2 linked regions of the Canis lupus familiaris genome follow. The protein of the gene in region 1 interacts with the protein of each later gene in a biochemical or structural test. Links are inferred from orthologs where the notes say so. Each region holds a gene or a part of one and is shown on either strand. Other genes may lie near its edges. The genes, in order: DRAP1 and DR1.

Region 1 (7,465 bases):
TTGTGAAGAACTCATTGTGGGTGAGGCCTGGATATCAGCCTGGGCAGGAGGCAGGGCCTGGGGTGTAAGTCCTACTCTGCCCAACTCACCGCATAACCCCAAGAGATATCCTTTTCCCTGTTGGCCTCAATTTCCTTGACCACACAATGGGACCAATATCTTCTTCTGAATAGGTCATGAGACTTAAATAATACATATGGAAGTGCCTTGCAAACTGTCCAGTGGCCCGTGACAGTCAGGGTGGGAGAAGTGAGTTCTTAGATGTGAGTTCCTTATGGCTGTACACATCATTCACCACATAAAGATGTCCAACCTAGGCTGTTGAAACCTAGCCCATCCTCTACTCACCAGACCATATGCCCTAACCTAGAAATGCCAGGACCAAGCAAATACACCCTATGCGCGGTAGCCTCAGACTTTGCTGGTTCAAGCTCCTAGATTTATGAGAAATCACTGAGAAACCGATTCTGATTCTTGGGATGGAGGAGAAGCAGGACTAGCTTTGCAGAGGCTCTCAGAGAGGCTCCCAGCCTTGGCAGTGAGGTGAATCTTATTATAGGAGGCAGTTAGGCGTACCCATGTAGGGCAGAGAAGCAGGCTTTCCTGGCCCAGCTTCTTTCCAGAGACCAAAGCAGGTAACCACCAACACAGTATTTTAAAAAACACTCAAGACACAGACCCAAACTGGGTTTTATTGAAATGCCAGGAGCAGGCACATGTCAAGGTAGTGAAGGAAGGAAGGTGGTGCAGGGAAGGAAGGAAGGTGGTGCAGGCTGTATGAGGTGGCAGGGAGGGGCAGGACCCATGTCCATGGCCCTGGCATCCCCTCTCTCTGCCAAGGGCTGAGTGGGTACAATCACCCTTCCCCCACCCTACCCCCAAAATAGCATGCTTAGGCCTGCAGGGCCTTTGCCCCCTGGACTAGGAAGGCTCCAAGAGGGACTGGAAGCACTAGTTTTCTCTCTTGTGAGGGAGGAGAAGGAAAGGATGCAGGAGAGGGAGGTACACCTGGGGAGGAGGGTGGCTAAGGAAGGCTCTCCTCCTGGGAATCTGTACCCAGCCCATGGTCCTGGATGACAGAAGGGAGCAGCAGTGAAAAGAGAGGCTGAGGGTCCGGCCCTCAGGGAGCCAGAGCCTCCAGCTGGTGGGAACTTGAGTCAGCCCTGAACAGAGGGCAAAGGTTCAAAGGGACCAAAGATGCAGGCAGTTTCCGATTGACCTGGTCCTCAGAGCTAGGGGGCTCAAACTCCTTGGGACAAAGAGGAGGAAGACAGGAGGATCCAACCGTAGCAGGGAGCTGAGTGGGAGGGGGGCAGAACGTGGTCTCCCCCAACTTGGCCACACTAGGTCAGTTCCACATTGTTGGCGCGATCCAGCACACGGGAGCCACGGGTACTGCCCCCCAGCTGAAAACGACTCTCATAGAGAGTGGGGCAGAGGTGCCAGCGGTTGGCCCGGTAGATGCCCAAGTAGGTGTAGACGTCAGGTTTGTAGGTGAGCAGGCACTTAATGCCTGCCGCACGGATGGCTGCATCTGCCTCCAGTACACCTAAACGGTCCGTGAAGTCATCGGTGTAAACACAGATGACCTGGCGCCCACCCTCCCTGGCCCGTGGGCTCACCTTGGCCACCTGAAGCTGGCCCTCGACCACAGCCCGAGCAATGCCAGCCCAGGCGTGGTCCAGCTTAAAGCCAGGTGCCAGGTGTATCAGCCACTTGCCAGACAGCACATGATGGGTGATAGCCAGTTGGCGCAGGGTACTCGGTGTGATGGGCCGCCCGCTGGTCTGCAGAGCCTCCCAGGCTGCCTGCAGGCCCTGCACATCGCCCGAGTTGGGGACATAGCCTTGCCCATATGCTGCAATCCAGCCCACGGGCTCAGAGTTGGGTGAGCCAGGGTCCCCATAGCGAGTAACTTGGGATGGTGGGTACTTGGCCAACCAGGCATCCAGCTCGGTGGCAGGTGTGGTGCGAGCATCAAACACCAGCCAGGGGTCCATGTCAGCTGCCATGGCCTCTGCGGCCAGGTGCTCAGCAGTGAAGCCATCCTCGCGGCCGCCTGGAGAGTCTTCCTCCTCCATCTCTTCACCTGGCTCCATCCTGCCATGAAGGAACAGAGTTAGAGCAGGTCCAGGACAGACGTACAACGTGCTGGGCCCTAGCTGGTGCAGCCAATGGGCTTAAACTCCGTGGCCTTAGGCAAGACTTAAGGTCTGGTGCCTCAGCTGCCTCATCTTTACAGTGGACAAAAGCTGTTCCTGTCCCGTAGAGCTATGGAGCATTAAACGCCTAAGGTGGAATAAGCGCTGCATAAAGGTTATTACTAATGCTATTACCACTCTCCCCAATTTACAGACCAGAAAATCGAAGCTCAGGGAGAAGTGACCCACCCAAGGTCACACCTGCAATGAGTGACAGGGGCCGAAATGTGAATTCAGGTGTGGGAGCAACCAGCCCAGCTACACCTCCCGGCCCTGCCCGGAACTGGCAGGCATCCCGATCGCAGGATTCAGCGGAGGGAGGCAGAGAAGCGCACTTTCGCGTAGCATCGAGGCAGGCCCAGCAGGACCAGACCCCCGGGCTGGCGCTGTCGGGCCTACTTGAGCACGAGCACATTGATGCCCGGAAAGAGCCGTGACCAGTCCAAGGCCAACGGGGCGACAGCCGGACTGGAACCCAGGCTTGGTAGAGCCTACGAGAGCGCCAGCCTCGGGCCCGCCGCGCCCGCCGCCATTAGCGCCCACAGCCCGAGCCGCGCCCCCGCCCAGCCCTGCCCCCTCCCGCAGCCCCGCCGTCACCTCCGGCCTTCGCCGCGCTCGGCGCCGGCCCAGCCCCGCGCCCGGCTACGCTCCTGCCGGGGCTCCGCGCCGCCGCCGCCGCCGCCGCCGCCCCCGCCGCGCCCCGCCCCCGCCACGGCTGCCGCCGCCGCCATCTTAGCGCCCGCCGCCTCAACAACAACTTTATAGACAAGCGCAGCACGGGGCGGGGCCGCCGGGCCTGTCGCCCGCGCCGCGGGGCGGGGCCTGCGAGGGGAGGGACTGACCCCGGGGGCGGGGCCGCCAGGGGAACCGGGGCGGGGCGGGGCGGGGCCTCGGGGGCGGGGCTAACGTTCGCTTTCCTAGGCTTGGGGGCCGGCGGGAGCGGCGCTCCGGTCCCGGATCGACGCGCACCGCCCGGGAGGCCGCAAGGGGAGGGCGCTCCGGCCCTGCGAGCGGCGTCCTGACCGGCGGCGCTAGGACCGCGTGGGGAGCGGCGGGGGCGGAGCAGGCGGCACCAGGACCCGGGGGAACCGCGGCAGGCGGGTGGCGAGCAGGCCCGGGGGCCGGGAAGCTGCGGGCGGCGGCGCTGGGCCCGGCGTGGCGAGAGAGGCCCTGAGATGCCGAGCAAGAAGAAAAAGTATAACGCGCGGTTCCCGCCGGTGAGCACGTGGCCAGGCCCCCGAGGAGCGGGCCGGGCTCTTTGGAGGCTCGGGCCCGAGCCGGGCTTGGGGAGGTTGCGTGGGGGGGCGGGCGCACCGTGGTGTTCGGGGTACGAACGCCCCGCCCCCTTCCGTGCCCTCCCGGCGTCCGGGTCCCCAGCCCTCTCTCCCGGGAGAACCTCTCTCGTTAGCCCCCAGCACCCCTTTCGGGGATGGAGGCGACAGGGTCCGAGTTTTCTGCCCCCTCCCCAGGCGCGGATCAAGAAGATCATGCAAACTGACGAAGAGATTGGGAAGGTGGCGGCGGCAGTGCCTGTCATCATCTGTATCCTGTCGGGGCCTGGCCAGGTTGAGGGACCTGGGGTAGGGAGGGAGCCCGGGGTCGCCTTGTTTAGGTTGGGGATCCCCCACCCGTGTTCTCCTTGACGCTCCTCAGCCCGGGCGCTCGAGCTGTTCCTAGAGTCGCTGTTGAAAAAGGCTTGCCAGGTGACCCAGTCCCGAAACGCCAAGACCATGACCACATCCCACCTGTGAGTGGCCTGGGAGCTGGTTGGGCCCAGTGGAACCTTGCCCCAGGAGTTCACACACTTAGGAGAGGTGGGAGGCTGCTGGGAGACCAGCAACGCCTCGAATATGGGTGGGTTTGAACTGGGGGAGGAGGGGTTGGGTGGTGTAGCAAGGCGAGCAGGTTCCGTAGTGGAGATGGGATGGAGGTTCTCCAGGCTCTATCCTCCTGATATCCATCTCCTGATATCTCCTGCTGTCCCTTGCTGAGAACCCAGACATCTGGGCCCCAGCTGAATTCCATCTTCTCCTCACCTCTTCCAGGAAACAGTGCATTGAGCTGGAGCAGCAGTTTGACTTTTTAAAGGATCTGGTGGCCTCTGTGCCTGACATGCAGGGAGACGGGGAAGACAACCACATGGATGGGGACAAGGGTACCCGCAGGTGGGGAGCCAGGGCCAGGTGTCCAGGCAAGGAAGGCCAAGGCCAACTGGGGTTGGGGGTGACTGGGAGGGGGTGGTCAGGGATGGTGAGACCTCTGGGCAGATGGACTGTACCTTCCCAAAGGGGTCGGAAGCCAGGCAGCAGTGGCCGGAAGAATGGTGGGATGGGAAGCAAAAGCAAGGACAAGAAGCTGTCAGGGACGGACTCAGAGCAAGAGGTGAGTGAGGCCCGCAGCCCTCTGGTCTACTGTGTGGTGTGGAGGGGGTGGTCTTGTATCTGGCCTAGCATGCTGGCTGGACACCCGGACCCATCCTCACCTATGGTTTTTTGTAAATTAGGGCTGTAAAGTTAAGGCTAGAGAGTTCAATGTCTTGTCCCTGCCGCTCCCAGGGATCTAGGCTCGCCAGTGATGGGCTCATGCTTTTCTTGTCACTTCTGACCCCTGCCTTGCTCCCAGGATGAGTCTGAGGACACAGACACTGAGGGAGAAGAGGAGGCACCCCAGGCGCCACCCCAGGCTGGCCATCCCCCTGCCCACTTTCAGAGGTAATCAGCTTGGTGGCACCAGATGAGGCTAGCAGACTCCTCAAGGCTGGCCTGCTCTTGTGGCCACTTGGTTTTGTTGTTTGTGGAAGATTTGGTGGATGAGAGGGGAGGAACTGAGGAGGGCTTAAAGGCAGAATGCTGCTGTCAGAAGATCCCCTCCCCTACCCCCACCCAGCCCCATTGGAGGGGGCCTGGGCAGGAGCTGTGTGACCTGCTCTGGGTTCTTCCCTTCTCTGGGCTCGGCTGCCCCTGGGTACAGAAGGCCGGGGGCTCCATGCTCACAAGGGTGGGGTAGGTGGGCACTGGCAAGGGGCCTGATCTTTCTCTTCTGCTTTCTGCCCTGCAGCCCCCCGACACCCTTCATGCCCTTCACTTCGACTCTGCCTCTGCCCCCAGCACCCCCGGGCCCCTCAGCACCTGACGCAGAGGATGAAGAGGACTATGACTCCTAGCGGCCTCTGCCCCCCCCCCAGGCCACACCCCCTTTTAGTTGGTTTTAGTTGCTCTGGGGGGAGGAGAGAAGATAGAGCTGTTCTTAAATTTATTAAAAAATTAATAAAAGGGAACACCAGTGTCTGTCCCAGCCTATGTCCAGGGCTTTGTGGCCACCTCCCCATCCATCTACCTGTTTTCCCCATGCTGAGCTGAGGCCAGAAGTGGTGGTAGGCAGGGCAGCAGCTGAGTGAGGGAGGCTCCAGAGGCCATGGTCCTGCCAGGGTAGGAGCAGGGGTGCTGACAGAAGGCAGAGTGGTGGTGGAGGGCTGGAGCCAGAGGTGCTGGTTGTGCTGGAGGATGACCTGTCCTGTTTTGCTGTGTGACCCTGGCAAGGTTCCTATCTTTGAGTGGCCTCTCCTTATCTCCCCGGTAGAGATCTTTCTGCCTACTCCGGGCTACTGCAAATAGACAGATTGGACAAACAATGGGAAGAGGACTTGCAAGCTATAGAGCTCTGTGCCTGGTGCCATGAAGGGCGTGTGGGAAGGGGCAGTGGGAGCAGAGACAGGTGGGATTGTCAGGGGCCTCAGAGATCAGCTTCTGAGCAGGAGAGTGACCCATTTGGTCAGTCCACTCCCATTTCTGAGTAGACCCTGGAATCGTGGGGTCCCCAAGGCAGGTGTGTGCTTTCAGGGAGCAGGGGCTTGGTGAGGCTGGGCAGAAGATGTGGTGGACAGTGGGTAGACTTGAGGTGTATGTTCTCAGTAGACCTAAGTGTATGGCAAACTGACTGGCTGTGGGGCTGAGAGGGAGGGAACCCTTAGGGACTGCTAGGTTTCTTTCCATAGTGACGTGGGCAGGGGCCCTGTTCCAGCTGGAGGACACAGAGAAAGAGCAGGATTAGGTGTTAGGGTCACAAGTTGGGCTGTGGCGAGTTTGGAGTGCCTGTGAAGCTGCTGTGGAGAGGCATAGGATGGGTACTGGCATGTAGGGGACTGGAGACAAATGTGTGAGCCTTGAGAGTAAGTGACTTCACCCCAGGGGGAGAGGGGAAGGCCTGGGCAGGCCACCCAGGGAGACTGGACAGCAGCCACACCCAGGTGCCCCCTGCCTCCCGCCCCTGGGCACTGGGGGTGCCTCCAAGTGTGTCGGAGGAGGGAGAGGTAGGCAGCTGTCACAACAGCTTGGAGGCTTTAGGAAAAGCTGGGTGATGGTTGATGAGGGAACTGGAGGTGAGAAGCTGAGGTGGGAAAGTGACACTCAGGCCTGAGAAGCAGAGATGAGAGCCGTGGCTCAGAGTGAGGACAGAAAGACAATTTTTGGTTTTGTTTTCTAAGATAACACAAATGCAAGCTGTAGTGAGGGAGGGAGACTGATGCAGTGAGGTGAGCTTGCCTGAGGCTGGTCTTGGCCTGACCAGGGGGAAGTGGAGGATGATGAGTGGGTTTGGCAGGAGTCCTGAGGTATTCAGGGTTTGTGTTGTGTTGTATTGCATTTTTTAAATTTATTTATTTATTTATTTATTTATTTATTTATTTATTTATTTATTTATTTATTTATTTATTTATGAGACAGGCAGTGATAGCAAGAGAGAGCAGGAGTGGGGAGGAGAGGGAGAAGCAGGTTCCCCACTGAGCAGGGAGCCCGACGTGATCCTAGGACCCCAGGATCATAACCTGAGCCAAAGTTAGAGGATGCTCAACCAAGTAAGTCATCCAGGTGCCCTGAGGTATTCGGATTTTATGTAACAGTGTCTGACTTCTTTGGGGCATAGGAGGCCAGGTGGCAGTGTGGAAGGGCCCGGGCACCTGGAGCCTAGGGGCACCTGGGTCCTGTCTGCCTCTCGTCTGGTTGTAGAGCCCTTGCTGTCTTTTTGGGATCATCTCTCTTCTCTTCAACCTGTAGTATGTGCAGCTGATCCCACTCCCTGAAGTTAGGGGGTATGGATGTTGCACCACATCTTATGGCCGCAGTGAATCGGGCAGGCTGGGCCGTGATCCTAGCAGGCCTGAGCCCTTGACGTTAGGCGGGACCATTGGAGAAGGATTTTGACAAGATGGCTAGCTTTCCCATGGCACTGGAGGCAGCAGGGAGCCCTTTCGGGAGTCCTGACGAGAG
Region 2 (7,606 bases), on another chromosome or scaffold:
ATAAGCAGACTGTATTGAGCGTGGAGCCTGAGGAGGGGCTCAATCCCACAACCACAAGATCATGACCAGCTGAAATCAAGAGTCAGATGCTCAACTGACTGAGCCACCCAGGCACCCCAACATCTCACACTATTTATATTTAAATTTTCTCTCCAGTTGTATTATGTACTGGTTTATTATTGGTTGAAGACTGCCCAGACCTGATAAAGATGATAATAATGAATACTAACATCCATATTAATTCATCATAATGTAAAAAGTGCTTTTACATACAGTCTCATTTGATGTTGAATCCTGTGTTATATAATATTTCCATTTCTAGTTGAAGAAAATCAGGCTCAGGGAGTGACCTGTCTAAAGTAACAAAAACTGGGACTGTAACCTAGGTCTCTTTACTACATATTTCATGCTTACAAACTATAGTTCATTACCTATAGTAAAAAACTATTACCGGAATAACAACTTAACATGTGCTCTGCAGATCTGTGTATAATTAGGTCTTTAAGTCTATAGCACAAATGTCATATAAAAAGGCAAAATTATCATTATGACATTTTTTGGGTCAGTGACAATGTGTTAACTCTGGGGACATTTTTTTTGCGAGCTAGCTTTTTCAGACTAATAAACTTGGTAAGGCCAAGATAAATTTAGACAATATAACTCTTTAAGTGGACAGTAAACTAACTGGCTTACAAAAGCACTTCATCAAGAGCCAACATGAGGCAAGGGTTTCACATTCCTGTTTTGAAAAAATTTAAAAATACTGCTTTATCAAAGAAATTTTGTTTTGACTAAACTTAGTTGCACTGAAAAACAAGCATCTATATTTCAAAAATTAAAGAAACCACAAGTGTACTGAAGAAACTGCCAAATGAAAAAAAAAGGGTAGATAACTAAGATCTCCTCCAGATGCCACATGTAGGATCTTCAATCCTAGGAAATAAAAGTTTTAAGGAAACATTTAAAACAAACCAGTTGCTATCCAATGTATCAAGAACAATGTATCTGATGAAGGTGCCCAAAGCGAATTAAATGGGATCTTTTAGTGTTTAGAAATTGCGGGATCCCTGGGTGGCGCAGCGGTTTAGCGCCTGCCTTTGGCCCAGGGCGCGATCCTGGAGATCCGGGATCGAATCCCACATCAGGCTCCCGGTGCATGGAGCCTGCTTCTCCCTCTGCCTACGTCTCTGCCTCTCTCTCTCTCTCTGTGACTATCATAAATAAATAAAAATTTAAAAAAAAAAAGAAATTGCAACACAGGGATCCCTGGAGGCTCAGCGGTTTAGTGCCGCCTTCAGCCCAGGGTGTGATCCTGGAGTCTTGGGATCGAGTTCCGCGTCGGGCTCCCTGCAGGGAGCCTGCTTTCCTTCTGCCTGTGTCTCTGCCTCTCTCTATCATAAAATAAATAAATAAATCTCATGAATAAATAAATAAAATCTTAAAAAAAACATAAATTTAAAAAAATTGCCACACACACACAAAAATAGAAATTGCAACACCCCACTGTTTTACAATATAACCTCTTCTTCCAAATGACGGATGACAAACTTTGTGAAGACTCTGACATATACTACAGGTCACCCTGGAGAGAAGCAAAGATGAGAGGTGCTTGATGGTCGGACCCACTTTCCTTCTCACCCTCTCCAGCAGCCAACGTTCAACACACCATGAAAAGGGGCTAAGCGGGAACCTCTTTAGCGTGGCTCACTGTCCGCTCTACTACATGGGATCTTACTTCTAGTTTCTGGCTTGGTTATTAGCAAGTCACTTCTCTGAAGGTTTCATTTCCCATAAAACAAGAAAATGGGTAAAGGCCCATAAAGAGCTTTGATCCGAACAACGTCTGTTAGGTGTCATCACAAAAGCGTTTCCTCCTGGCGATGTAGACGGGCACACGACGTTCTGCTTTCCCGACATCTCGTTCCCGAGCCCGGGCCTCCTTCTCTCAGCCCCAATTTGGGCTCCTAAAAGGAGATGAAATCCGGCGCTCCCTCCTCAAACAAGGCTGGGGGAGAGCTTCGAGGCCACAGCTGGTTAAGGGGCGGCGGAGGGGACCCACCCTCGCCCCCTCCCAAGCCGGGCGCGGCAGCCCGAGGGCCGGCGCGTGGCGGGCCGGCGCGTGCCGAGGGGCTCCCAGGTACCAGCGCGCGCTCGCCCCGCTCCGCTCCCCGCGAAGGGGCAGGGTCCCCGGGCGCGTGCAGAGACGACGGCAGGCGGAAGCCGCAGGCGGGGAGGCCGGACCGTTCCCGCCGCGGGCGGGTGGGGGAAGGGCTGCAGCCACACCCGGAAGTCGGTCTGCGAGGGAGAGGGGGGGCCGGAGGGGGGGTGAGGCTTCCGGTAGCGCAAAGGGTGTCGGGAGAGGCTTCCAGCAAACCTTCTTCCTTGGCCTCTGGAGGGACCACCGTTGCCGCGGCTTCGGCTTCCACGATCTGCGTTCGGGCTAAACGGCCACGGCGGCCGCTACTGTCGCTCCCCTGGTGCCCGGCTCTGTCCGTACTCGTTCCCGGGCGGCCGCCACGGCTCCCGCAGCGGCTGCGGCCGACATGTTGTGAGGCGGCGGCGCGGGTGTCTGAAGGATGGTTTGGCTGAGGCGGCGGCAGCGGCTGCTGGCGGCGGCGGCAGCTGGGGCTCCGGCTCTGTAGCGCCCAGCCCGCTGGGTGGCTGCCCGGTACCGCGGTGAGGCCAGTGCCCCGGACCTTGCCTCTCCTCAGGCGCGGTTGGGGACCGGTTAGGCGACAGCGCCCGCTCCTCGGAGGAGACACGAAGGTGGTTCCCCAGTGCTCACATTTCCGGACCACCTTGGCTTTCTCTCCGACCTGGACAGCGCTGCCCCGACCATCCTCAGCACCCCGACCTCCTTCCCGGTCTCGCCCTAAAAAATCTCTCACACGGGTGTTCCCCACCCTCACGAACCGGCTCCTCCCTACCCCCCACCCCCACCCCCACCCCCCTTCATTCTCCGCGCTCCTGGGATCACACTTTTGAGGGCAGCCTTTTGAAAATTCTTCGCGGAATAGTGGACTAGAGCTGGGGAGTTTTTAAAAGTCGGGGCGCGCGCGAGAGGGAGCTACGATGGCTTCCTCGTCCGGCAACGATGATGATCTCACTATACCTAGAGCTGCTATCAATAAGATGATCAAAGAGACTCTCCCCAACGTCCGGGTGGCCAACGATGCCCGGGAGCTGGTGGTGAACTGCTGCACTGAATTCATTCACCTTATATCTTCTGAAGCTAATGAGATTTGCAACAAGTCGGAAAAGAAGACCATCTCACCTGAGCATGTCATACAAGGTAAGTGGTACGTGTGGGGGTTTTGTTTAAGCGAGGGTCGGGGACAGCCCGCGAGTTGCGGGACCCATTCACGTCAAAGCCTTCATTCCTCTCCCCTACATAAGTACTGGCAGACGAAAAAGCCACGCGGGCATGGAAGCAGCCGATGCCTTGAGAAACTCCTGGGTAGTATTCTCGTGGTGGTGCTTTTCATCCAGCGAATACACGTAAGGATGGCAAGCGTTTAGGTCAGCCAACATCCTCCAGGGATAAAGTATTAATTGTCTCGGTTGACGGCCAGGTAAGCCGAAGCAACAAGAATTTTGCCTGCATGCCTGCCTAAAGTGGAACCTAGACGTGACGACTGAGAAATTGTCTGCCTAAAGTGGAACCTTCGATCACAACAACTGAGAAAGGAACACAGAGAGTTATCCCTTGGAAAAGGAAAAATCACACGGGAACTTCCAAGGATGAGTGGAGACAGCACCCCTTCCCCATGCGGTCTTTTCAGCAATGTAGAAGAAAAGATGAATTTTCTGAACACACGAGTAAAAGAATTCTTAACATAAATGTGTTCAACGTTGTAAAGTTTGGTGATGTTGAATAAAGACAGTATGTTTTCTGCTTTAAAAATGGTTTAGTGGTCCTACCATGTTAACCAGTCTTCTTTCCTCTTTCCTTCTTTTTTCACTTTCTTTCGTAGTTTTTTTCTTTTGTGTAGCTTGCTTTGCTCTATGGAGATAAATTTTTAAAGCTTGGATTGAAAGGTTGTAAAAGATATTTTTCATGGAACATTTCTCTGTCCTTTCTTGCTGCCTTTCCCATTTAGCTGTATACACTTAAGCTTTTATTGAACAGCATTTTTGGAAGTTTCAACCCTTTCTTATCTTGGAAAGGATTTAGTCCAATAGTAAGGACGTGGGGGACCACATTCTGATGGTTTGTTTCAGGCTAGGGAGACATATTTACTAGTCATAATGTTTTGAGAGCACATATGCTCTTATGGGAAAGTTGCATTCAATTTGAGGCGGTAATTTGCCTTTTATAATAATTCAATTAAAATCTAAAAATTTTTTGATTGCTTTTGAAGTCAGAAAAAATGATTAATTTTAATCATATTAGTGGGCATTTATTTTTTATAATTTTTAAATTTATAATTATTCTTAAATTTATAATTTAACTTTTTAGAGGTGACTTTCCTGTTATTCTGAAGTAGAGAACACATCTGCTCGTATTTACCATCTCCAATATTTTACTATCAGTATTGACAAAAGAAATGATTCATTTTTGGTCCTTAATGATGTGTGGAAGATAGATTTAAGTATACTCTGCCATTTCCATTCCTGTACATGAGGAGAAAAAAAAAATCTCTAGGAAAAACCATGTTTGATTTTAAAGCCAGTGTTTTCTACTTGTTTGGTGTGCTGAACACTCTGGCAAGTACAATGAAAGTCAAGTTCTCTATTTTTTGTTTCGTGTTTTATTTTTACATTGTGTGTACTATTGTCATAAGTCTTTCATAAGGTTATCCAACACAGATAGCTGTAATTTCCTCTTACAACTCGTAAAAAAGAAAAAATCTTTTATCAACATTGCCTTTCTAATGAAAATTGCACAAGATTTCTAAAGGATGTGCTTAAACATTTGTTTACAACACAGAAGTGGGGATTATTCCAAAAATCTAATAACACATTACGGTCTGTCTTCTTGGGTAGTTTATTCTTTTCTGGGATATATTTAGATTTCTGATTGACATGATGGAATAAAAGTGCAGCTGTAGTGAGCAGTATGCTAACTAGCTCAACTTTGGAATATGCTAAATTCAGTTTAAGATGTGAGTCAGAAAGTTCCAGTGAAAGCATTTTCATTTTCCTTTGTGTACTGGGGATGATTGATTAATTTTCTTAAAAAATCATCCATTGACCTGTTTTAGTCTTATAAATTTACCCTTTTTTTTTTTTTTTTTTTTTTTGGTAACATTGCTGTTAAGTAGAAAAGGACCTACCATTTTTGCCCCAAATTCTTCTCCAGTTAGGGGAATAAAATTTATACATTTATAATCTTATGTTAATCTCACATTGCGTAATCATTTTAAAGAATTTTTGTCTTGAGTGGTTACATTTTTAAAAAATGTATATATATTTTTAAAAAGTGTTAAAAATGTATTTTACAGATTAACCCTGGAAAGCTTGCAAAAACATGGAAGTTACAACATTTTTTATGCTTTTTGTAAGCATTAATTATTTTGGTATGTAGGATGTATCCAAATGGAATAATTAGTACATTTAAAGTTGTATGAGGGATCCCTGGATGGCGCAGCAGTTTGGCGCCTGCCTTTGGCCCAGGGCGCGATCCGGGAGACCCTGGATCGAATCCCACGTCGGGCTCCCAGTGCATGGAGCCTGCTTCTCCCTCTGCCTGTGTCTCTGCCTCTCCCTCTCTCTGTGTGACTATCATAAATAAATAAAAATTAAAAAAAAAAAAAAGAAACCTGGATGGGTTATCTTAAAAAAAAATTAAAAAAAATAAAGTTGTATGAATCTCACATGTTGAAGTTCAGATTTTTGAGTAGTAAGTTTAATGAACTAGATTTTGCTTTAAGACATGTCATTTTTCCCTTGCTACTTTGCTTTACCTTGTCAGAGCAAAGTAAGCATTTTGGGCAGTTCTGTAAAATGCAAGTTACTAAAGTCAAAATAATCTTCTTGCCAATAAATCTTTGAAGTCATTAAATTTTTTAAAATTTCTAAATGTTATGCTTATTTTGAGTTTAAGAAAGTGAACTTGGTAATGAGGATCACAGATACACAAAGCAATTCTAAGCTGTAAAAGGTGTTCCTTTTATTTTCATTTCTGGTTTCCCTGAACACATATTCTTTCTTTTTTAAGGTTTATTTATTTATTTTAGAGAGAGAGTGAGCACAGAAGGTTGGGGGGGTTGGGGGGGACAGTGAGCAGAGGGAGATGAGGAGAGAGAGAATCTCAAGCCTTGATACAGGGCTTGATCTCAGGACCCTGAGATCATGACCTGCGCAAAATGGAGAGTCAGATGCTTAAGGACTGAGCCTCCCAGACACCTCTGTGAACACATATTTGTAAATGAGTTTTAACATTCTGTTGTATTATGGAAAGAACTAACATTGAGAGTTTAAGAGTGACAAGTTCTACACTGCAAAGTGTTTGGCCTTATGCACATTTATGAAAGGTTTCCTCTTTTATGTATAAATAATACCTAATTGTTTCAGGTATCACTTGCAATTATTGAGAATTAATCAAGGTTGAGAATCTTCCATGATATGCTGTAATAAATAACAGTTTTTTAAATGTGTAATGGTACTGATTAAAACATGTCTGTTAGGTTTAATCTTAAAGCATGATGCCATCTGTAAAGCCAAAGTATAAATAAGGATATTTTAAGTGATATTATTTTTTTGCATTTTTAACCTCCTCCTACATCCCCCCACCCCACATTTAAAATAATAGTAACTGAAAGTAATGAAAGCTTGAAAAAGTCTCTGAAGGTTTGCTGTTTTAGCAGTTGTGTTCTCCAAGCTATCTATGTTGAAGGATTTTTTAAAATTCCAGTTCTTCTCACACTGGTACTTTTGTGAAATATAATAAAAATGAATCACTAGAAAAACAAAATTAAAAAAGACATAAATAAAAGTTCAATTTTTGTTGTTAGATTCAATAGATATAAAATAACGGTCAAGTTGCTATGAAGTTTCCTTTTTTCCTAGCTTTATTGAGAAATAATTGACGTAACATTGTGTAAGGTTAAGGTGTACAGCATAGTGATTTGATATATGTATATACTGTGAAATGATACCACAAAAAAGGTCAGCTAACACATCCATCACCCCACATAGTTACAGTTTTGCTGTGAAGGTTCCAAAATGCTTACTTGGATTTCCATACTTAAGCCATCACAGACCATTATAAGCAATTCTGGCACAAGTCCATGAACCACAGTTTGAGTAGCTTTGTTCAAAATCCTAAACCACAGTCTATTTTAGAAAGTGGATGTGAAGTAGTTTTTAAATCATAGAATCTGAGTGGTTGCAGAGAAGTTGTAATAATAATCAGAATAAGAATGAGATTGTATTACCTAAATAATCATGCATACTGATATTTTTTCCAGAGGGATACAGAGGTATATAGCATTGTACCATTTATCACATAATCAAGTTCTTTTCAAGTTAGGATTTTATCATTTTCCTTAAAACTGATATATCTATTTATTTTCCTTCTACCACCGAGTAATTACTTTTGAATACTACTAGGTACTTGGCACTGTGTTAGATACAGCTAAGAATATAAAGACAGATGATATAT

Evidence for each region.
Region 2: the proteins of DRAP1 (region 1) and DR1 form a complex in vitro, tested with the Homo sapiens proteins (2 studies listed by BioGRID). The link is inferred for Canis lupus familiaris from reciprocal best matches to the Homo sapiens genes DRAP1 and DR1.

The regions. Positions count from the first base shown.
Region 1 is NC_049239.1:51,850,542-51,858,006, reverse strand, and holds DRAP1 (dr1-associated corepressor), read left to right. Parts: upstream 1-3,256; 5' UTR 3,257-3,376; coding exon 3,377-3,418; intron 3,419-3,670; coding exon 3,671-3,743; intron 3,744-3,854; coding exon 3,855-3,948; intron 3,949-4,246; coding exon 4,247-4,366; intron 4,367-4,489; coding exon 4,490-4,583; intron 4,584-4,756; coding exon of another isoform or gene 4,757-4,823; coding exon 4,824-4,912; intron 4,913-5,258; coding exon 5,259-5,364; 3' UTR 5,365-5,495; downstream 5,496-7,465. Other genes in the region: C18H11orf68 (UPF0696 protein C11orf68 homolog), read right to left, coding at 1,344-2,100, 2,799-2,932. UniProt on the Homo sapiens protein: The association of the DR1/DRAP1 heterodimer with TBP results in a functional repression of both activated and basal transcription of class II genes.
Region 2 is NC_049227.1:56,204,427-56,212,032, reverse strand, and holds the start of DR1 (protein Dr1), read left to right. Parts: upstream 1-2,991; 5' UTR 2,992-3,072; coding exon 3,073-3,292; intron 3,293-7,606. UniProt on the Homo sapiens protein: The association of the DR1/DRAP1 heterodimer with TBP results in a functional repression of both activated and basal transcription of class II genes.